Coturnix japonica: one gene and its partners. The protein of the gene in region 4 interacts with the protein of the main gene of each other region in a pairwise test. Links are inferred from orthologs where the notes say so. Each region holds a gene or a part of one and is shown on either strand. Other genes may lie near its edges.

The links. The genes of interacting proteins can lie anywhere in the genome.
Region 1: the proteins of EGFR (region 4) and AKT1 interact in a protein complementation assay, tested with the Homo sapiens proteins (3 studies listed by BioGRID and IntAct, with this or other methods). The link is inferred for Coturnix japonica from reciprocal best matches to the Homo sapiens genes EGFR and AKT1.
Region 2: the proteins of EGFR (region 4) and PRKAR1B interact in a protein complementation assay, tested with the Homo sapiens proteins (2 studies listed by BioGRID and IntAct). The link is inferred for Coturnix japonica from reciprocal best matches to the Homo sapiens genes EGFR and PRKAR1B.
Region 3: the proteins of EGFR (region 4) and GAPDH interact in binary tests that used the Homo sapiens proteins (3 or more experiments, as listed by UniProt). The link is inferred for Coturnix japonica from reciprocal best matches to the Homo sapiens genes EGFR and GAPDH.
Region 5: the proteins of EGFR (region 4) and FAH interact in a protein complementation assay, tested with the Homo sapiens proteins (2 studies listed by BioGRID and IntAct). The link is inferred for Coturnix japonica from reciprocal best matches to the Homo sapiens genes EGFR and FAH.

What each region holds. Positions count from the first base shown.
Region 1 is NC_029520.1:46,986,318-46,990,562, forward strand, and holds the start of AKT1 (RAC-alpha serine/threonine-protein kinase), read right to left. Parts: upstream 2,801-4,245; 5' UTR 2,374-2,800; intron 1-2,373. UniProt on the Homo sapiens protein: AKT1 is one of 3 closely related serine/threonine-protein kinases (AKT1, AKT2 and AKT3) called the AKT kinase, and which regulate many processes including metabolism, proliferation, cell survival, growth and angiogenesis.
Region 2 is NC_029529.1:2,232,260-2,236,267, forward strand, and holds the start of PRKAR1B (cAMP-dependent protein kinase type I-beta regulatory subunit), read right to left. Parts: upstream 2,801-4,008; 5' UTR 2,422-2,800; intron 1,931-2,421; 5' UTR 1,903-1,930; coding exon 1,726-1,902; intron 1-1,725. Other genes in the region: DNAAF5 (dynein assembly factor 5, axonemal), read left to right, coding at 3,711-4,008. UniProt on the Homo sapiens protein: Regulatory subunit of the cAMP-dependent protein kinases involved in cAMP signaling in cells.
Region 3 is NC_029516.1:69,304,076-69,308,111, reverse strand, and holds the start of GAPDH (glyceraldehyde-3-phosphate dehydrogenase), read right to left. Parts: upstream 2,801-4,036; 5' UTR 2,677-2,800; intron 2,305-2,676; 5' UTR 2,287-2,304; coding exon 2,264-2,286; intron 1,650-2,263; coding exon 1,550-1,649; intron 1,337-1,549; coding exon 1,230-1,336; intron 1,146-1,229; coding exon 1,055-1,145; intron 948-1,054; coding exon 832-947; intron 731-831; coding exon 649-730; intron 480-648; coding exon 328-479; intron 215-327; coding exon 136-214; intron 1-135. UniProt on the Homo sapiens protein: Has both glyceraldehyde-3-phosphate dehydrogenase and nitrosylase activities, thereby playing a role in glycolysis and nuclear functions, respectively.
Region 4 is NC_029517.1:73,823,017-73,826,961, reverse strand, and holds the start of EGFR (epidermal growth factor receptor), read right to left. Parts: upstream 2,801-3,945; 5' UTR 2,480-2,800; coding exon 2,362-2,479; intron 1-2,361. UniProt on the Homo sapiens protein: Receptor tyrosine kinase binding ligands of the EGF family and activating several signaling cascades to convert extracellular cues into appropriate cellular responses.
Region 5 is NC_029525.1:11,267,333-11,271,573, reverse strand, and holds the start of FAH (fumarylacetoacetase), read left to right. Parts: upstream 1-1,441; 5' UTR 1,442-1,524; coding exon 1,525-1,605; intron 1,606-2,629; coding exon 2,630-2,740; intron 2,741-3,069; coding exon 3,070-3,191; intron 3,192-3,683; coding exon 3,684-3,733; intron 3,734-4,241.

The DNA of each region.
Region 1 (4,245 bases), on a different chromosome or scaffold from region 4:
ACCGTCACAAGAACAGCAGGGGAGCAGAGGTGCGTGTTGTGGGGCCCACACATCACACCAGCAACCTGCGCTCTCTTTCTGCATCATATCCCCGCTCTCCCTTTAAGCTCACAGCCAACTGTATCCAAACGGCACAAGAGCAACAAAGTTGGGCTCCAGCAAACGTTTTAAGTAGAGCGTACGGAGCAGTATCTCCACCAGGCTCTGACCAGTGAAGTACATCTCCTGCATTATGCAAATCCTACCCAGGAGAAGCAGCGCTTCCAAAGCACTCAAGGCCTTGTGAACTCACAGCGGCTTCACACCATGACCTAGTTACTCAATCTGGGCAGACAGCTTTCAAGAGAGAACAGAAGGACCAGGTTGTTCCAGCATCTTAGCTTGCTTTACAAAAATGCATTGTGGCCCATGAGTTAGGCATGGTCACAAATATTTTGCTACTAGCTCATGTGATGTTCCATTCAGAACAACACCATGTCTAAATGAGTATTTCATGACTGTACGTGCAGCTTATCACAAGGTTTAATAATGCTTCTCTGACACTAAGAACTGCGGGAAAAAGCAGTAAGTGGAGAAAAGATCTCTAAAGCCACATCCACTTTTCCTCCAATCCGTCAGCACAATCTAGGTTTACAAAGCTGCAATTTGGAATGCCTGTGCTCTCACGTCTCCACTAATCAATAGACAGGAGGTTGATTTGGTTCAGGTGAGGGGCCAGAGTTACGACATGCAGCTGTCTGAGCTTCAACCACAACTGCAGTTTGATAGGACAAACTGAACTGCGTATTTCAAAACTAAGCAATGGCAGAAAAAGAGATCTCTTCATACTCTCCGTCAAAGACATAGGCTAAACAAAATCTTCTTTATGTTCCAAAACAAGAAGAAGGCCTTTTACAGTTTACCCTCATATAATTTAATGACTGTGCTGCTCAGAACTTCTGCACCGACTTAAGATGCATTTAATCAAATCCCGTTTCAAAGTATTTATAACGGAAGTTTTGTTCCGTCTCCCAAACAAACCAAGTCACTCATGAACCCATTTAATCCTATTTGTAATTACTTACAGGTTGTTTCTATAAGCCAGCAACGCCGGAGCTACAGGTTACTTGTGGACACTGGATCAATTCTTAGATTCGATTTACTGCTGCAGCTCAGAACCTAAAGCAGTTCTATAATGTACACAAGGAAAACCCTCCTGTTTAAAGAAAATCAAAGGTAGTTCCACGGTGCCTTTAAATCTATTAACTCAGACAAATGCTGTGGCTGTCATCAGGAAATTAGCTGCTACAAAAAAGTAATTACTAGTCATAGGCTGCGTTACGTTTATTTACCTGTAAACAAATATTCTTCTGAATTAAGTCTTAGTAACGCCCCTTTGTAACTGTATTTCAAAATGTACATCCCTCCTGGTGGCATAAGTACAGCAAACAAGAGTAAAGCAGGGATTAGCTTCTTGTATGGGTGGGATGGAAGAAAAATAAAGCAGAGAGAAAAATGGTTAAATCCTTTCCCAGGGGCAGGGGGAATCCCAATAAGGTGCAACCTGCATCTGTACCTTTGTGTCAGTAAAAACAGACAGCAAATACAGCACACACTGTTAGAATTCTGAGCTCTACAAAGAACCCAAAGGAAAAGTCCTGGAAGTCTGCAGGAACGTTTCAGCGATTGCAGAATTCCACCTGGGGGGCGGAGGGGGGTTGGCTGTAAGCAGCTCCTCGCAGCTCTGCACAACACCGCCGCAAGAACTCAAAGCAATGGGGCCCAGCAACACTGCCCAGCACCACCAACACACGGAGACTCACACCCCCGACTGTAAACACTCCCCGATCCTCAACGCAGCGCGGAGCCGCACAAAAGATAAAGGGAGAAAATGGGGGCGGGGGGAGTAGATGGAGGAACGATCGGCCACTTTCTGTGCTACACTTTGGGAAATGCCCCGTGCCTCCCTCTGCCCCAAAGCCCCTTTTTCCCTCGGAGATGCTCGGGGACGACGCGGTTGCAGCAGGCCCAGAGGGCGGCCGGGGGAGCCCCCCACCCCGCAGCACTTCCATTCCCCGCATCCCAGGGAAGCCAACAGCTTCCTGTTCGCCCCGAGCCCTCCCGCCCGGCTCCGGGCCGCAGCCCTGCCCCCCCCTACCCCGTACATACACGCACACCCCCGGCGGCCCCTCGGTGCCTCAGCCCGGGCCAGCAAAAGCCCCCGCCGCGGCCTACGCGGGTCAGCGGGCGCCCGGCGGCCGCCGCCCGGGGAAGGAGCAGAGCGGCCGCCTCGCCTCGCCTGTCCGCCCCTCCCGGCCCCGCACAATGCGCGGCGGAGCAGGCCCCGGCGCTTCCTTCCCCCGGCCCTTCCCACCCCGGGAGCGGGTCACTTACATGGCTCCGGGAGCCCAGGGTGGAGGTGATGGGAGGGCGGCGGCGGCGGCGGCAGGGGAAAGAGGCAGGGGAAGGGGAGGGAAGGGGGGAGCGAGCGAGCGGAGGAAGGGAGAGCCTGGCGGGCGGGCGCCGAGCGAAGGCCTAACTGGGCTCACGGCAGCCGCCGCCTCCTCACCATCCCCGGGCGGCGGGCGGCGGGCCGGCTCCTCCTCCCCTTCTCGCAGGCGCTCGGCCCATGGGGCTCACACGGGCTGCCGGCTCTGCCTTCCCCGCCGCTCCGCCTCGCTCCTGCCTCTGGCCGAGAGGAGGAGGCTGCCTCTCGCTCAGCAGCACCCCCGGAGCCGCAGGGCCGAGCTCCCCGCAGCCGGAGCCGGGCTCGTCCCACACGCTCTCTCTCACATCCTCCGGGTCCTACCGCCGTCGCTCCGCTTCCCGCCCGCCCCGCCGCGCTGTGGGGCCGCGCTGTGGGGCCGCCCTGCTCCGCCTCGCTGCTCCCCTCAGCCCGCCGCCTACCCGGCCCCGGGCCCCGCTTCGGGCTGCCGGCTTTGAGAGGCACCGCCGGCCTCTACAAGGGGCGTCCGGTTGCCAGAGCCTGGGTGTGGGTCACTTTATAGTTTCTCCTGGCTTTGAGGTGCGGGTGTCTGGTCTTGCCGAAGTGTTCCCAAAGTGTTGGCAATGAACTCCAAAAAGCAGGCATCAAGCACGGGGCCACGGTGGTTTCGTGGCACCTCTGCTGCTCAGAAAGCATGTGGCTCCTGTACAGCGCCAGAGCAACTTTGTGAAGCTTTCCTGAAGCCGTACAAATCTACTTAACACGCTGCAGGTTTTTCCCTGCGCCTCCTAAATCCTGATTGATTCAATAATGCGGTATCACTTAGAGGATATTCCAGTATCCTTTCCCACAGCAAGGGGGGCTGCCTGGGGACAGGGTAGCAACCCAGGCCATGAGTCTAGGTGCTGCATCTCAGCCTCCTTGCTGCTTGCTAGGCCGTTCTGCTCTCAGTACACACAAATAATACAGTCACAGAATGGCTCCTGTTGGAGGGAACCTCAAAGCACACCCAGCTCCAACACCCTGCTGTGGGCTGGCTGCCCCCCACCAGCTCAGGCTGCCCAGGGCCCCATCCAGCCTGGCCTTGGGCACCTCCAGGGATGGAGCACCCACAGCTCTCTGGGCAGCAGTGCCAGGGCCTCACCGCCCTCTTAGAGATGAATTTATTCCTAACGTCTAACCTAAATGTCCCCTGCTTTAGTTTAAAGCCCTTCCCAAACCATTACGGATTGCTGCAGCAACGAGAACTGTCGCTTGCAGCAGGGCAGTATTTTGTCAGATTTTAAGAGCTGCTCCGCTCTGAAAAACGATGTTGTGGAAATGGCTTTGACAGATTTATGATTTCTCTGTGCTTCCAGTATCAAAATTTTCCCTGTTTACTCATTAAGGGATTTTGTTTATTTTCTAATTGACAGTGCCATAAAATCTAACTGGGCCGTAAGAGTGCTTTGATTTGTTCAGAAGCATGCGATCACTGATGATCGTGTTTCTGTAATTGGAAGCTCGTTAGAATTTAGAAAATGCCACATCTTCCCACAGCTTTGCACTGTTAACAAAATAAAGGTGCGTAAAATGCATTTACATCAGTAAAGCTGGGGAACGCAGCTCTGCATTTACACAGGCAGCAAATCTATTTGACATACTAAGAGTTTTTCCTGCGGTGTCATTGGGAATGATTGTATGTTCTTACTGAAATTCACATTTTATATCCTTCTTCCAATGTGATCAACTAGAAAGTCTGTCCAAAGAATTATATCCGTCACTAATTTTCTGAGTGTCCAGTGGATCATCAGATTCTGTGTATATCAGTGCACTAAAGG
Region 2 (4,008 bases), on a different chromosome or scaffold from region 4:
TCACAAAGGAAATTCAACACGTTTAATTCCCTTCAAACAGGTCGTGGCTCCAAGGAGTTTAACAGAGGCAGAATCAAAAGATATTTGGGTTTCTTTCTTAAATACTGCATTATACAATGAAAAAAAGTCTGTACTTCCCATTCCCTGCCAGTATTCCAGGCCTTCTTTGTGGATTTCCACCTGGATACAATCACAGAATCACAGAATGACCCGGGTTGGAAGGGACCTCAAGGATCATGTAGTTCCAACCCCCCTGCCTGGCAGGGCCACCAAACATACACCTTTACTAGATCATGTTGACCAGGGCCCTGTCCAACCTGGTCTTGAACACCTCCAAGGACGGGGCATCCACAACCTCCCTGGGCAGCCTGTTCCAGGGCCTAACCACTCTCCTAGTGAAGAACTTCCCCCTAACATCCAACCTAAATCTTCCCTCTTTTAACTTAAAACCATTTCCCCTAGTCCTGCTACTATCAGCCCTTTCGAAGAGTTTACTCCCCTCCTGGGAGTAAGTTCCCTTCAGGTACTGAAAGGCTGCAATGAGGTCACCCCGCAACCTTCTCTTCTCCAGGCTGAACAAACCCAACTCCCTCAGCCTGTCCTCATAGGGGAGGTGCTCCAGCCCCCTGATCATTTTCGTGGCCCTCCTCCGGACCCTTTCCAGAATCTCTATGTCTTTTTTGTACTGAGGGCTCCACACCTGGATACAGTATGAGAGATGGGGCCTAACAAGAGCCGAGTAGAGAGTTTGTATTTATTTTCAGGCTACACAAACTTCACCTATATCCACAGATAGAGAAAAGCAGACAAATGAGGAGAGATGTGTACAACGCTCCTATCATCAGTAACATAGCAGCTCTATGCATCATTCACTAGTTAATTGTTCTTGCTCTGTCCTTACAAAGTTCCGTTCCTAGGAGGAAAATAATACACATAAAACTCCTATCTCAAGCCTACAAATATTATGTGCTTAACTAGGAAAAAAATAAACCCAAAACCTCAAACATAATAACAGTCTTCCTACATTAAATACACTAATAAAGGATGCATACAGTTAACAACCTGCAGCTCTGTGTGCCCATGAGCATCTATTCATTGAGAAACCCCATCCCCTCAAACAGATGCACTCACACTACCTGCAAAAGACACCAATATGCTTCAGTAAAGATTTGCCTAAGGATGTTTTGAAGTATGTTTCCCCTCTATGCTGCTTCTGAACACAGGCACAGTATATGAAGCTTCTCTGGATGCATCTCTCATTGGAGATACCAGGATATGGAATGCAAGAAAGAGCAATTAAATTAACAGACTTTGATGGTTTTAAGTACCTGCTGGTTCTATGACTTTGTTCAATTTAAAAGGCATGTGAAAAGCACTTCACCTGACACCAGAATGAACAGGGAACAGCATCTTTTGCTCTAACCATGGATGAGAGCTGAGAATGTCATGCACCACAACACAGAGTACACTTCCAAGTTCTTGGGTCACTTGTAACAAGTTCAATATGATGATAATCATAATCTTGGTGTTACAGACAGTAACAGAACCATGGCAGCCATCGGCAAATAAAGGGCTGCTTATTTGCTTGTTTCTAACAGCCTTTGCTTTTTAACAACAGCTTGTTAATTCAAAAGTTAAGAAGAAAATCATACCAGAACATCTGAAATGTTTTAACAACCTTTTCAGCTTAAAATCATTAAGTTGAGCCACGTTCAAATCACTGACCTTTTCTAATTTCTCAAAGTGTTCTCTGAGGAACTTCATGGGTCGATCTGGTTTGGCTATGCAGAGATTCACAATGCACTCCTTTAAGATCTGCTGGATGTTGTGCTTCTGAACATACAGCTCACATCCCTTCAGGCTCTCATCTTCTTCCACACTGCAGGAAGAAGCAGCAGCCATCTTCAAGGCTTGTAAACAGTAAACAGACCTGGGTGATGGAAATGGTGTAAAGAAGAGACAATTCTTTAACAGAGGAACTTGGAGCAGCAGAGATAGACAAGTACTGCCTGAGAGCTATCAATTCAGAGCATTATATGGAATTATTATGGAAACGCAGACCGCGGCATCTCTATAGGATCAACACATTGGTAACTACAAAACTAGCACTTCAACTCCTCAACATCTACAGATAACGGTACAATGAATCACACAAGGCCATGAGTTTTAGAGGCAGTCATTCAACACCGCTTTAAAGCCCCGCATTTCTGTCCCATCGCAGCCTCCCCCCGCTCAGCACAAACCCGGGTTGGTGTCTCAGGAGGATTTGTGGCTCCAAAGCAGCGCTCGGGGCCGCGGTGACACCCGAAGGAGGGCCGAGCTCCCCGCACAGAGCCCGGCTCGGACCTTCGCGAGGCCTCTATGTCCCAGCACAGCGCGCCGCATCGCCGCTGAGCAGCAGGGAGCTCAACCGGGCCGTACCTGGGCGGCTGATCCGGCGGGGCGGCTCTTTGTGCCGCTCTCACGGATGAAGCTGCTCCTCCGCCGGCTTCAGCAGCGCAACCGCTTCCTCCTCCCCTCGCTGGGACCGAGAAGCTGCCTCCTGTGTGCCCTCACACACACACACACACACAGACGGACGCGGATACAAAGGCTGCGGGCCTGCCGCAGGAAGTGCCGCTGCTGTCAGTCAGCCGCAGGATCGGCCTCCTCGGCGGGGCAGCACGGAACCGGGCAGCGCGGAGCGGGATAACGCGGAGGCGGACAGCGGGCCGGCCGTCACAGCGCCGCTCTCTCCCCGCCGTGTAATGGCGGCTGAGCGCAGTGCGGCGGTGCCGGACGCTGTGTGGCAGCTCCGTGCTTCACCGCGCCCCGAACCCGGCGGTGTTCACAGTATCACAGTGTCGTGCGAGTTGGAAGGGACCTTAGAGATCATCGAGTCCAACCCCCGGGATTCGAGCCTCTGTGTAGCAGAGCGGCACTTCACAGAGTCACATAATGACCCGGGTTGGAAGGGACCTCAAGGATCATGTAGTTCCAACCCCCCTGCCTGGCAGGGCCACCAAACATACACATTTACTAGATCAGGTTGCCCAGGGCCCCGTCCAACCTGGTCTTGAACACCTCCAAGTGTTCAAGGTCTTGTTCCAGGTCTGGTTCCAGGGCCTAACCACTCTCTTAGTGAAGAACTTCCCCCTGACATCCAACCTAAATCTTCCCTCTTTTAACTTAAAACCATTTCCCCGTGTCCTGCTATTGTCCAGCCACTTCTACCACTTGCGCCACAGGGGGGATTCGAACCCAGGCCTCCGCTGTTGCAAAGTGGCGTCCTTAACCACTGCGCCACCGGAGGCACACATAGTCCACAGTCCTCATTCTGGCCCCCAAGTCAATTCATGCTCTTCCGCCCCCCCCCAAGTCCATTCATCGCATCCTGCCCCCCAAGTCACAGTATCACAGTATCACAGTATCACAGTATCACAGTATCACAGTATCACAGTATCACAGTATCACAGTGTCGTGCGGGTTGGAAGGGACCTTAGAGATCATCGAGTCCAACCCCCGGGATTCGAGCCTCCTGTGTAGCAGAGCGGCACTTCTACCACTTGCGCCACAGGGGGGATTCGAACCCGGGTCTCTGGAAAGGATTCATCAACAGCGGGAGGGATGGAGGCGAAGCGTGCCCGGTGCGGCCGTAAAGCGTTTTCTCGCCGTCGTAAAGCGGCCGCGTCCTTAGCAACGGCATCGCGCTTCCGTAGCGGCGGGGCAGCATGGCGGCGTGCGGGGCGGCGGAGCTGGCGCAGGCCTTGAGCCGGCCCCTGAGCTGCCTGCAGGGCCCCGAGTGCGGCCGGGCCGCGCGGCTGCGAGCACTAGAAGCCATCCGGGCCGAGGTGCAGGAGCGGCCGCTCTCGTCGCAGGCGGTGCAGGAGGTTTTCGAGGCGCAGCTGGTGCGGCCTCTGTCGCGCTGCCTGGCGGGGGACGCGGCGGAGCGGTGCCGGGAGCTCGCCCTGCAGCTGCTCCTGCACGGCCTGAGTCGCTGCGAGCGGCCCGGGGAGGCGCTGCCCGTCG
Region 3 (4,036 bases), on a different chromosome or scaffold from region 4:
CTGCATAGCACTAGCCATGCACATTAGGTGCTATTTTCAGCAAAACCAAGATTTTTCTATTAAATAGATTGATGTTGAAGGAAGTAATTTTAGAGGCAGGCCTGAAGATTCTTCAGTCTTGTCCACAGCACTTACTGGTTTCTCCAGACGGCAGGTCAGGTCAACAACAGAGACATTGGGGGTTGGCACACGGAAAGCCATTCCAGTAAGCTTCCTGCAAGAGATATGTCAGCAAAGAACAGTGTAAGCATGTTCTACCACAAAAGTGTTTGAGCCAGCCACACACTGGCTCCTGCCCCCCATCAGACACAGAAAGAGGACGCTCACCCATTGAGCTCAGGGATGACCTTCCCCACAGCCTTAGCAGCCCCAGTGGATGCTGGGATGATGTTCTGGGCAGCACCTCTGCCATCCCTCCACAACTTCCCAGAGGGGCCGTCCACAGTCTTCTGTGTGGCTGTGATGGCGTGCACAGTGGTCTGTGGAAAGAAGGCCCAGAAGTAAGAAAGCAGTCACTTTCCCCAGAGAAAGCACCCCCAGCACTTCCTCCCAAGCCCAATGGAAGCACTGTGTGTGAATGCTTTTTTCCCCCACACATGGAGGACCTGGGGGCAGGGTATCTTACTGAGCATCAAGCTCCAGACCTACCATAAGACCCTCCACAATGCCAAAGTTGTCATGGATGACCTTGGCCAATGGTGCCAGACAGTTGGTGGTGCATGAAGCATTGCTGGGGGAGAAAGAAGGCACATCAGCCAAGTACAACACATGTATATACGTGCAACAAGACCCGAAGAAAATTCCAGGCCAGGGAGCATTCTTCTCCCTTACCTAACAATTTTCAGGGACTTATCATATTTCTCATGGTTGACACCCATCACGAACATGGGAGCATCAGCTGAGGGGGCTGAGATAATAACACGCTTAGCACCACCCTTCAGATGAGCCTGAAAAACAAAAAAGGAAAGATTAAATTACCCAGAACGGCCCAACAGTTGAGAAGGAATACAATCCTCAGAGCACCTTTTCCCATGGGCCACAGCAGCCTACATACCCCAGCCTTCTCCATGGTGGTGAAGACACCAGTGGACTCCACAACATACTCAGCACCAGCATCTCCCCACTTGATGTTGCTGGGGTCACGCCTGAGAGGGGACAAAACCATGGGAGTTACTCTGGAGGGCACTTACTTTCATTCTCTGGAGCAGCGAGAGAAGAAAGCTACTCACTCCTGGAAGATAGTGATGGCGTTCCCATTGATCACAAGTTTCCCGTTCTCAGCCTTGACAGTGCCCTTGAAGTGTCCGTGTGTAGAATCATATTTGAACATGTAAACCTAGCAGGGAGAGAAAAGAGAAGGGTCAGGCATCCTAGATGCAAAGCTCCCACTACAATACCAGCCATCTTGTCTAACTGCTGCTCTGTATTTTGCTCTGCCCAGCTTTGCATCACTACATCTCATTTCTCTCTTAACCTATGCCAGGTTTCCAAGGGGAGCCCCGCTGAAGGTGCACGCATCGCCCAGAGGGGGCACTGCAAGACAACTCACCATGTAGTTCAGATCGATGAAGGGATCATTGATAGCAACCACTTGGACTTTGCCAGAAAGGACAGCAGCCCTGGTGACCAGGCGGCCAATACGGCCAAATCTGGGGAGAAACAGAGAGGTGGGTGAGGAGGAGCACTGAGGAACATGCTTGGTAAGGCACGGCTGAGCCTATCTGCTACTTCCCCCCAGAGCATCTGTCAGTCGCTGCCTGAATGGAATCCAACAGCAGCGGCCAAAGGCCGAGGAGCCGTGGTTAAAGATTAAGAGCGACCCCCGGGCAGGGCACCCACACCACAAAGGTCAGGCGCTAAATTTACTGAGGGCCCCGGGGATCCGGTTACTCCTCGGTGCGGTGGGAGAAGGTCACGTTCCCGGGGCACGGCCGACACACGATCCACCGGGCGACCTTTCCTCGGGTACCCACTGCCCCGGGGAGCCCCATTAGTGCGGGCAGAGCCCCCGACGGGGCACGCGGGCAGCACCGGCGCTTCCGGGGTGACTCACCCCGACCGTGCGGGGAAGTGACTCAGCACCGCCCCACGGGGCCGTTACTCCCGGTTGGGGGTTGGAGGATGGGGGGGTCTCTCCGCGGCGCCGCGGGGCCCCCCGCCCTTCAGGCGACCTTGTCTCGTGTCGTCCTCCCCCCCCCCACGGGCACGTACATCCCCGCCCGCCCCGCCCGGCGCCTCCCGTCCCGGCTCCGCACTCACTCACCCGTTGACTCCGACTTTCACCATCTCTCCCTTATAGTGTACCTGCGGGGACACGCCAACGCTCAGACGTGCGGTACCGCACGCAGCCCGCCCGCCCCATAACACCCCCCCACCGCACGCACCGGGAGCCGCCCCCCCACCCGCCATCCCTCCCTCCCTCCATCCCCACCGAGCTGTGCCCCCCGCACCTCTCCCCCCACCCCCACCGCCTCCATCTTACGCCGCCCGCCCCCGCCTTTGTGCCCCGGGCACCACGCGGTCCTGCACAGCCCCCTCCCCCCGCCGCACTCCTCGCGGTCCGACGGCCCCGACCCTACGAGGGGCTCAAGCAGACGGGAGGGCGGCCGGCTGGGTGGGTGGGTGGGTAGGGGTGGGGGGAGCCGTTCCTCCGCCCCCGTGCCCCCCGCCCGTTACCTGCTCCTAGTCAACGGCCCCGGCGCGCAGTGAGAAGGTGGCGCAGTGCCGCTCCGCCGCCCTTTATAGACACGGCGGCAGCACCCCGCGCCCCGCCCCGCCGGGCCGGCACCGAATGGCAGCGCGAGGGCCGGGCCGGGGCTACGTGCACGCACGGTGCGGGTGAAGCGGCAGCCCCCCCCCCGCTTCTCTCCCCCTCCCCCCTCGCAACAAAGGGCGGCCGTTGGGTCGAGGGTGGGCTCGGGGGGTTGGGGCCGCACTGCGGGGCTTGTACGGAGTGGGGGTGCCCTTCGGATGGGGGGTGCAGACAAAGCCCCGCGTCGGTGTCCTCGGGTGAGGCTGCGGGGTGCGGCTGCAGCACGATGCGGTGCGGCGGGTGCGGGCTGCATTAATGGCAGCACGCACGGCCGAGAGAGCGCCGTGCTGCGAGCCCGCAGCCTGCCCGCTGCCATAATCAGCCCTCGCACGTGTTGGTCACGCAGCCCCGGGCTGCCGGGGTCCCGCACCCGCTGTCACACCGGCGCTCTCAGGCCGCGCTAATAAGGAACTGCAGCATCTCTTGCGCCGTGACAGCGGATATCCTCATATCCTCCCGCCGCCTCGAGCCGCCGCCGTCCCTCTCCCAGCCCGGCACGTCTGCGCCTGGCAGCCGGGCCCGGGGTGTGGGCAAGAAGCGGTTCTTACGTGTTACGGCTGGGGCTCGTGCGGCCCAAAGAGGGGCCGTGGGATGGAGCCGTGCTGGGTTTATAGCCTCCATCCCCTGCGATGGAGCGGGTGCTCGAAGCCGGATGCCCGGCGGGAGGAGGGGGCGTGCAGGGGTGAGGTGGGCCCCGGCTCCAGCGGTGGGGACGGAGGATGCCGGGGGGAGAGGGTCCGAGCGGGGGGTCACGCAGCTCCCGTAACCCAACGCTCCTTGTACGGCTGCCATTCCCGGAGCACCGAGGGGCAGCGGCTAAGTTTAGCCCCGGCTTGAGGTTACGACCTTTTCTTAAAGGCCAGGGGAGGCGGCGGTGCGGCCCGAAGGGGGCTGCGATCGCGGGGCCGGGGGAGCCCCCCGCACGTCGCGGGGTCAGGGCCGGCAGGGAGAGCGGAGGCCCCTTGTTTGCTCGGCAAACACGGCAGCGGCCGAGGGGCAGAGTGTGGCGGGACGGAACAACGCTGCGGCCCCGGGGCGCAGATCGATGGACCCGCCGCCCATCCTCCCCCCAGCGCCGGGCTCGGGCCCAGGCCGCGGACGCGCGTGCGGCCCGGCCCACCCGGAATGGCGGCGGCGCCCAAAATGGCCCCGCGCGTGGGGGCCGCGTTGCCGTGCGGAGCCGCGGGCTCTGCCGCCATCTCCCGGCGGACGCGGGCGGGGAGA
Region 4 (3,945 bases):
AGCCAGTACACTGCCCAGTGGGTTAGAGTGCACAGTCCTTTACTCCATTCCACAATGGCTGCAACTACAGATCAAAACTAGATATATAGAGCCAAAAAAGCAACAAGAAATGGTTTGACTAAATGCAATGTCACTAAGCAATGAGAAACAAAATGGACATCAGTCAAATGCATGCTGCAGGAAGTGGCATGCCTGCTGTCAAAGGCACCTAACAGGCCATCCAGCAACTATCAGTGTAAATCCAGATTACTTCCTCTGCTGTTAATCTGGATCAACATTAAAGATGGTGGATTGAGAGAGAGGGAGGTATTGATCCCTGTGACAGTTCAATTTCTAACAATGCTGTTTGGTGCTGCATTAAGCACAGCTACTGGGTTTGTTTGGTTTGTTTTTCATTTTCATGACTGCAGTCATTCAAATAAAAAAGTTTCGTCTCATCCAAATTTGAAAAGATTGTTCTAAACTTCTGGTAAAATATACAGGTGAATTTTAATTTCCATTCAACTATTACATTGCCCATTATAGTTTGATTCTGACATTCTTGTAACAAAAAAGATTTGCCAAGGTAATTTGGGGGGGATAATACAAACTAAAATATTAAGAAGCATAAATGCATTTACTATTTGTACTTCTAGAAGCAACAGAATTTTATCATAAAACATGAGTGTTGCAATGTTTATGGCAGCATATTTGCTTTCAGAACTGTTATAAATTCAGATGCCATGGGGTCCCAAGGAAGTGGGTCTTCACTCATTATTTTATGATTCCCAAATGCCACTTTATTCTGTACCCACCTTTATTTCCTCTCTCATCTTCAAATGCGGAGAAAAACAGATAAAGCTCAAATAATTGATTCATGCTTCTTGAAGAAGTTATTCTGCCTTCCCTCTTCTGTCCCCGGTCCTCCTCACAGGAATGGTTACTCACTAACACAATGCTGACAATGATGCCCATTGGGTTTATCATGTAGCTGTTTTTTATTTAACAATCCTCAAATAAACAGCACCTTCATAATTTTATGAGACACCAGATTAAGCACTTTAAAGAAGGCAACAACATATATACCCTCACATTTTACAGATTCTGCTGGGCATGTGCATCAGGGTGTTCCATTTCAAAGGACTTAAATGCAGCAGACGGAGTCAGCTCTGCTCCCCGTCACTTTCAGTGGATGAGGGGAGACAAGAAAAGAAAAAGATCAGAAACCCAGGAAAGAAGAGCTGCCTACGTTACATCAGCAACAGGTATGAACTTGATTTCTGGAACAAGGGAGCCTCTTCAATGCTTTGAGGTTGTGTAACTAGTTCCTCAGAACAGGCAGCTGCTGCTCCCTTTCAGGACAGTTTTACTGTTCTCAGTTACAAAAACATAGGTTCAGCTGTTTTCAGCTGCAAGCCAGCTCTTCAAAACACTACTAATTCTTTTTTCCCTCTTTTTCTGTAGAAAGAAAACACAACAACAGATCTGCATTTTTTCCCTTGCTGGCAGATCTCCAAGATAAAGAGAACTGTACTCTGCCTGGAACAGCACTCGGGGCCTATTCACAGAAATGATCACCACACATGGAGAAAAAGCGACGGAACTCTCCCAACAAAAACGTTCTCTCACTCCTTAAACCAGTTTTTCAAAAACGTATAAAAAACAAAGCTCCAGAAGCCAACCAGACAGCCTCGCGGGCCGTCCCGCGCCGTTCCCACGCACGGCTGCCGGGCGCTCTCAGCGAGGGTGACAGCGGAGGCATCGGGCCGGGCAGAGAGAAAGAGAGAGAGAGCGAGCACGACCGGAGAACCAGAATCCGCATGAAGTTTCCCGTCCTCCCCGACACACCCTTCTCAGGTGTGTGCACACGTATATGCATGCATTCATCTTTTTGAAGCGGAATGAGCTGAGGTGCCCGGCCCGAGGCGGCGGGACGGCTGAGGCTGCCCTGCGTGTCCCTGCCGTGCTCGGTGCCACCTCCCCGGTGTCGGTAGCAGAGCGGTACTGGGCCGGCGGCCACCATGGGGTGAACCCGGGCAGTGAGGGCGCTCGGGGCGCCGCGGAAAGAGCACGGGGGCGGAGTGGAGGAGAGAGCAGAAAATAAAAGCCTCGGGAGGGGACAAGCACAAGCGATGAGACTCTCAAAGGTTTATTCCCTTTTATTTCCTCCGCCCCCACAAAAGAAAATAAGCTTAGAATCAGGAAGTCATGAGCTGCGCGACTGCTCTGTAGGTCTGTTTTTCCATCTTTCTCTCAGTAGTTTTTTATTTTTTACTTTTTCCCCCCTTTCTTCTAAGGGACGAAGCCAAGACTTTCCCTCCGACTCTCCCCGCAGTACCAAGGGGCACACCCTGTAGCCCCAGCACCCGTACCACCCGTTACCTTTCTTCTCCTCCACGGCGGAACAGAGTGCGACGCGCCCCAGCAGCAGCAGCACCAGGAGAGCGGCCCCGCGGGGCTTGGCGGCGGACAGGGGGTTGAGAACGCCCATGGTGTGCATCGAACGCGACGGGCAAACGGAGCTCCCCGACGAGCTGCTCCTCACTTTGCGCTACTCTGCTCTGCGTTCTACTCCGCTCAGCTCCTGGCTGCCACTCTGCCTCCGAGCAACATGCTGGAGGGCAGCCGTCGAGGGTTGCACGCACACGTTCCTACCCAGCTGCAGAAGGACTGCTGCCTTCTTCCTCCTCCTCTCCTTTCCTACTCCCTCCTCTCCTTCTGTCGCAGGGGCTGCGGAACGGATGGGGCCGGCCAAGGGACTACTCTGCCCAGCTGCGCTCTCCGACCGGCCACGGAGCGCAGGGGCTCCCTCTGGGGACGCCGAGGGGGAGGAGGATGGGGCGGGAGCAAGAAGCGGGGGGAGGAGGAACCAGCGGCGCCTTCCCCGCCCAGGTAGGAATGGAACCGCCTCTACCTGTCCCAGGACAGAAGGAAGCAGCTGTGGGGGAGGGAACAGCTTGGCCTATTCCCCCGCTAGGTTTATGCGAGTGTTGAGGGTATCCCGTTGTCCGCTTCCCGCTGTTTGTTTGCTCGGTAGCTGCCGAAGGCATAAGCAGGCGTTTGCGTCGCCGCTTGTGAAAAGCCCTGTGGCCTTCAGCTCCCCATCCATGTCCCTCCCGTGGGACGCTCTGCAGCAGAAACCCATCCCGTCCCATTATATACAACCCTCGTTTCTGCTGCCTCGGCATCAACAGAGCCCGTGAACAGCCCCATTCCCGTGTGGTCATTTTGGCCACAAAGTCAATAGGATATGAACTACTATGATTTATTGGGAACTCCAGAACTGAATCTCACAATGAAAGGGGCTTGGGAGGTAACACACTAAATGCCTATGCCTATCCCCATGTGCTGATAGCAACACATGGGGATATCATAGATACATTACGTAGACAGTAAAACAGCTGCTGGGTGTATTCTGCCTTACATCAGTGATTCATGCCTTCTGAGAGATTCTTTGATAGTTATTTATATTGATTTATATTGATTCACTGATTTTATACTACCCATCAGATTCCTCTGCACATTTTTTTCCCTGATAGTTTAACAAGTTACTGTGCTAATTAGGCAAAGAAAAGTGAAACACCATTTACTTACATTAGCACAAGTTAGATGCTCCAACACATACCATATCGTGCCTCTAATTGTTTATTTTTAAGATGAGCCTTTGGATGCTGTAACTGGTATGCTCTTTTCCTTATACACTGTAAATAATACACAATAAATACGTCAAAGTAAACTCAGAAATAAGTAACATCCATACAGCACTGCTCCTCTGATTGTTTCTGTTCCTTTAACAGAGGCAGAATCTGATCCTGCAACAAAATATCCATTTAATTCAGTTTGCTTCAATGCTGTTTACACAGTGCAACCACAAAAACATTATGTGCATATAACACATTTTCATTTATTTTGACAAATATGAAGGTTTTAAAAAATGAGAAGCCCAGGAAAAAATCAGCTTTTAGA
Region 5 (4,241 bases), on a different chromosome or scaffold from region 4:
AACTGGACGTGCAGTGCAATGGCTGTACTGACTGGCAGGGGTAGTGTTGGGTAATTCTGTTTCTACACATATCCTTCTCAAGACAACCTAATAAATTTGTTTATGGCCTGGCTCGTTCAGATTGCTCCGAGTAAAGGATATTGAAAGATAATATGGTCCTGATATATGAACTTGGACTGGAAATCCACCTTTCCCTGACAGCGAGTTGGTGTTTGCTTTGGCGTTGGCTTCATGTTATCGTGGTGGTTGATCTGCTTCTCAATCTGGATAACCAGCCGTGCTCTTCATATTCTGTCATCAGCATTAGGTTAGCAGATGAACATTTTAATTAATACCAGCACGTTCACAGCACTGCAGCAGCCTTGCATGAATCTTGTTTCTCAAGATGCACGCTGTGTATTGGACGCACGCTTTCAAGCTGTTGTTTTCTCCTTGCAGTACGCAGCTTACACACAGTTCCTGTAACCTCACATGGAGCCTCTTCGCGGCGTTTTTCAGCCATCATTGGCACAGAGTCGTAACTTGAGATGCACTGGATTTGCTTACAGGGAATTCTGCAGGAGTTGGTGCGAGGCGTCGTATTGTTTGAAAGAAGAACCTGCTCCAGATGGCGCCACATGAGCTGTCACAGATGGGCTCTCGTCGCTGGTGTTGTGTCATCTCGCACTGAATCTCTGCCTCTCCAGCTTGCTCTGTTTCTTCTAAAGAGTCTTCTCTGCCAGAAAAGAAAAGTTGAGCAGGAAATAAGTTCTAAGTTCTTTGCTTGGCAGTCACGAGCTGTCTAACTGCGCTTATTGGAAAGGTGTGACCTTTGCTATTTGGTTTCAGTTTCACAAGTCATTCCCTCATTGGTTTCTGTGCACGGTGTGACAGCTGGGTTGGGGATCAGAAGATGCCACAGGTTCCTCTGCCCTTGTTCTGTTGTTTGCACACACCTGTTTTTAAGCTATTGGAACTGGTGAAAATGTAACTCGGATACAGCATTACAAAGCTAAAAAGGAGGTGAAGTGCAGCTGGAGGTGTCAGCTGAGCACTTTCTCCGTGTTGCTGAGCTGCTGGCAGAAGAACTGCTCCACTGAGGTGAGATGGGGACATCATTTTCCCACCTTGCTGTCAAGTAAATCACCCCCGTGGCAGGTAAATGGGTGGCATCTCTGCTCTCACCGCCCCACATGGAGCTGCCTGCATGGATTCCCCACCCACAAGGACCGAGCTGGTGAAAAATGGCCTTGGTTTCATGTAAGGGTTTATCGAGCAGGAAGAGCCTGTCAGTGTGCTGGCCCCAACCTCGGCAGGAACAGTTACCAGCTGCTGACTCATGCAAACCTCTGGCACTAATTAACCACAGCTGCTGCCAGCGGGATGAGGGGTGGGATGCGGGCAGGGCTGCGATTGGTTTGGGGCTGCGGATGGAGGGTGGGATTTGGTGCTGCTGTGCTCCCTGTTACAACATCCAAAGGGGCTCTTCCTTTGAGGTAGGAGCGCAGTGGCCCAGCAGGTCGGGGCTCTTTGTGAGCATTCAGCATGTCTTTCATCCACGTGGACAAGGACTCAGATTTCCCTCTGCAAAATCTCCCCTATGGGGTTTTCTCCACAAGGGAGGAGGTGAGTAAAAGCACAGGTTGTCCTCGGGCTGTTGTAATTGTGTGGAGCCTGTGGAATGGAGGAACTCCAGCAACATGGGATAAGGAAATCTGAGTTGTCTTTTTGCTTCACATAAGGCTTCTGGTAACAGCCTCCTTTAAACTATAGTAAAGAATGGGAAGTGTTAGTAGTTCTGAGGAGCACTTTGGCTGCTGCATCCTATGGTTTTTGTGTGGTTTTGACTATTGTCAAATGAATTGTCTCCTGCAATAGCTGTATTTGTATGTACCGTGTTCTGGCCTTTAGCAGCCTGCTCTCACCAGCTGGTTGGTTGCAAGAGTACTAAAGCAGAGCACTGCATGCACGTGTCACTTCTATCTCTGCTGCTGCCCCATTATGGTTTGTTGGGCACGGCGCTGCAGCAAAGTGTTAAATGTGCCCAAAGGTTCAAGCCAGTGCTGTTCTGTCAGAGTCATAGAATGGCCTGGGTTGAAAAGGACCACAATGATCATCCAGTTTTAGACCCCTGCTATGTGCAGGGTCACCAACAACCAGGCCAGGCTGCCCAGAGCCACATCCAGCCTGGCCTTGAATGCCTTTAGAGATGGGGCATCCACAGCCTCATTGGACAACCTGTTCCAGTGCGTCACATTTTGGCCAAGATCTAATTAGAAGTCAGGTGAGGGTTTATGGAAATCCTTTGGGGTAATAACGTTTTAAAACTGGCACCATGTCCCCATGATTTCCAGCTATGGCAGTTGGTGTCGTTACAAATTAACCCGGCGCTCTGCAGGGATGTTTGCTGAATGAATCCTTATCACAGCGGGAATCGTGCTTAGAAATTAAAGATTAAGGAATATCTTGTTTGGAAATTTGAGGTTAAAAAATAGGTTAAATTGCGTGAGTTTTTCCATTTTGTTAAGTTTGTTTTCCTAATGAGTGTTAGACCCTGTCCTCATGGGTTCATCTCTCTGTGATCGCTGGAGGGTTTGGGGGTACAAACATAAACTCTTCTTCTCTTCCCTCCACTCTCACCGCTTTGCAGCCTCGGCACAGGATTGGGGTAGCGATTGGAGACCAAATCTTGGATCTCAGTGTCATCAAGCATCTGTTTAATGGACCGGCTCTTGCCAAACACCAGCATGTCTTTGACCAGGTATTTATCTCAGGCCATAGTTTGGATTTCTGTGTGCTCTTAGACATGTGAGAGTTCCCCACAGCTCTTGAACACCTCCAGGGATGGTGACTCCATCACTGTCCTGGGCAGCTGTGCCACTGCAGCACTGCTCTTTCTGATAAGAGATTTTTCCTAATATCCAACTGATTTCTGTGACAGGGCACAAATTTGGGGCATCTCATCAGGAGTGTGGGCCAGCACCATTGGCTGTGCTCTGCTTAGAGGCAGCCTATAGCTGTGGGGATGCAGTGGGGGCATCTGGGTGCTCTTGTGAAGCAAAACTCAGTCTGTCATCTATTGCCCATCAGCCCACCCTCAGTGCCTTCATGGGGCTGGGCCCCACTGCCTGGAGGGAAGCCCGTGTCCTGCTGCAGTCACTGCTGTCAGCTGCCGAGCCAACGCTGCGGGACAACACGGGCCTGCGGAAACGGTGAGCCAACATGGGCCTGAGGCAACTGCCCGCCATCTGAACGGGATCCCACTGCTGCTTAGGCCTAATGACACCTTCCCACCCCTTGCTGTGTCTCTGGTTAATCACTTCATTGCCTGCAAATACAATCATAGAACCATTTGAGTTGGAAGGGACCCTTCAAAGCCATCTGGTCCAATTTCCCAGCACTGAACAGGGGCACCTACAGCTGATCAGGTGCTTGGAGCCCATGGGGACACCTGGAGCTCCATGCAAAACAACAACTGCCTCCATGGGGGAAGTGGCTGTGGGGCCTCCAGCCTGTGCCTCCCCCTATCCCAACAGTGCCCTTGTTTTTATTACAACTAGAAAGGAATTGCTGCAAGGCTTTGCAAAGCAAAATAAGGATGGAGCTGCTTCAAGAGATGCTCAGCCCCTTTTGTGCTTGAAAACCACTTCAGGGTGAAAGCCTCAAACTATTCTGAGAGCTGAAGTCTTTGTCTTTTATTTCAGGGCATTTGTACCTCAGGCTTCTGCTACCATGCACCTGCCAGCACACATTGGTAAGCCTTGTGGGTTGCCGGCTACTCAGCACTGCCCTTTGCTCCTGCCTGAAGGGTCTGCTTTGTTTCCAGGTTGCTCAGACTTAGCGTAGCTGTGATGGGGAGTGGGCTTTGTAGGAGCCAGAAGTAGCTCGTTGTATGCAGTGAATGGTAGGTGCTGTCGGCAGTGCAAGATGAAAAGCCGGGGGAAGCTCATTATCAGCCAGAAAACTCCTGGATGTGGTTTAACTCCGGGTTGTCCTGTGCCATGAAATGTCAGATTCACAACACCAAAGGCCTTTGTGGCTGTGATCCTCACACACCTTGCTCTCTAGACCCTTCACCATCTTCGTTTTCCTCTGCATGCCCTGATGGTTTTATTTCCTTCTTATGTTACGGCACCCAAAGCTATGTACAGCTTTAAGTGTTAGGTTGGCTGCAGCGAGGCTTCCAACACAGTATCACCCAGCAGAGGGCAGCAGCAGCCCGCCCACTCCGGCAACGATTCCAAATGCTGCTGAGTGTCTCT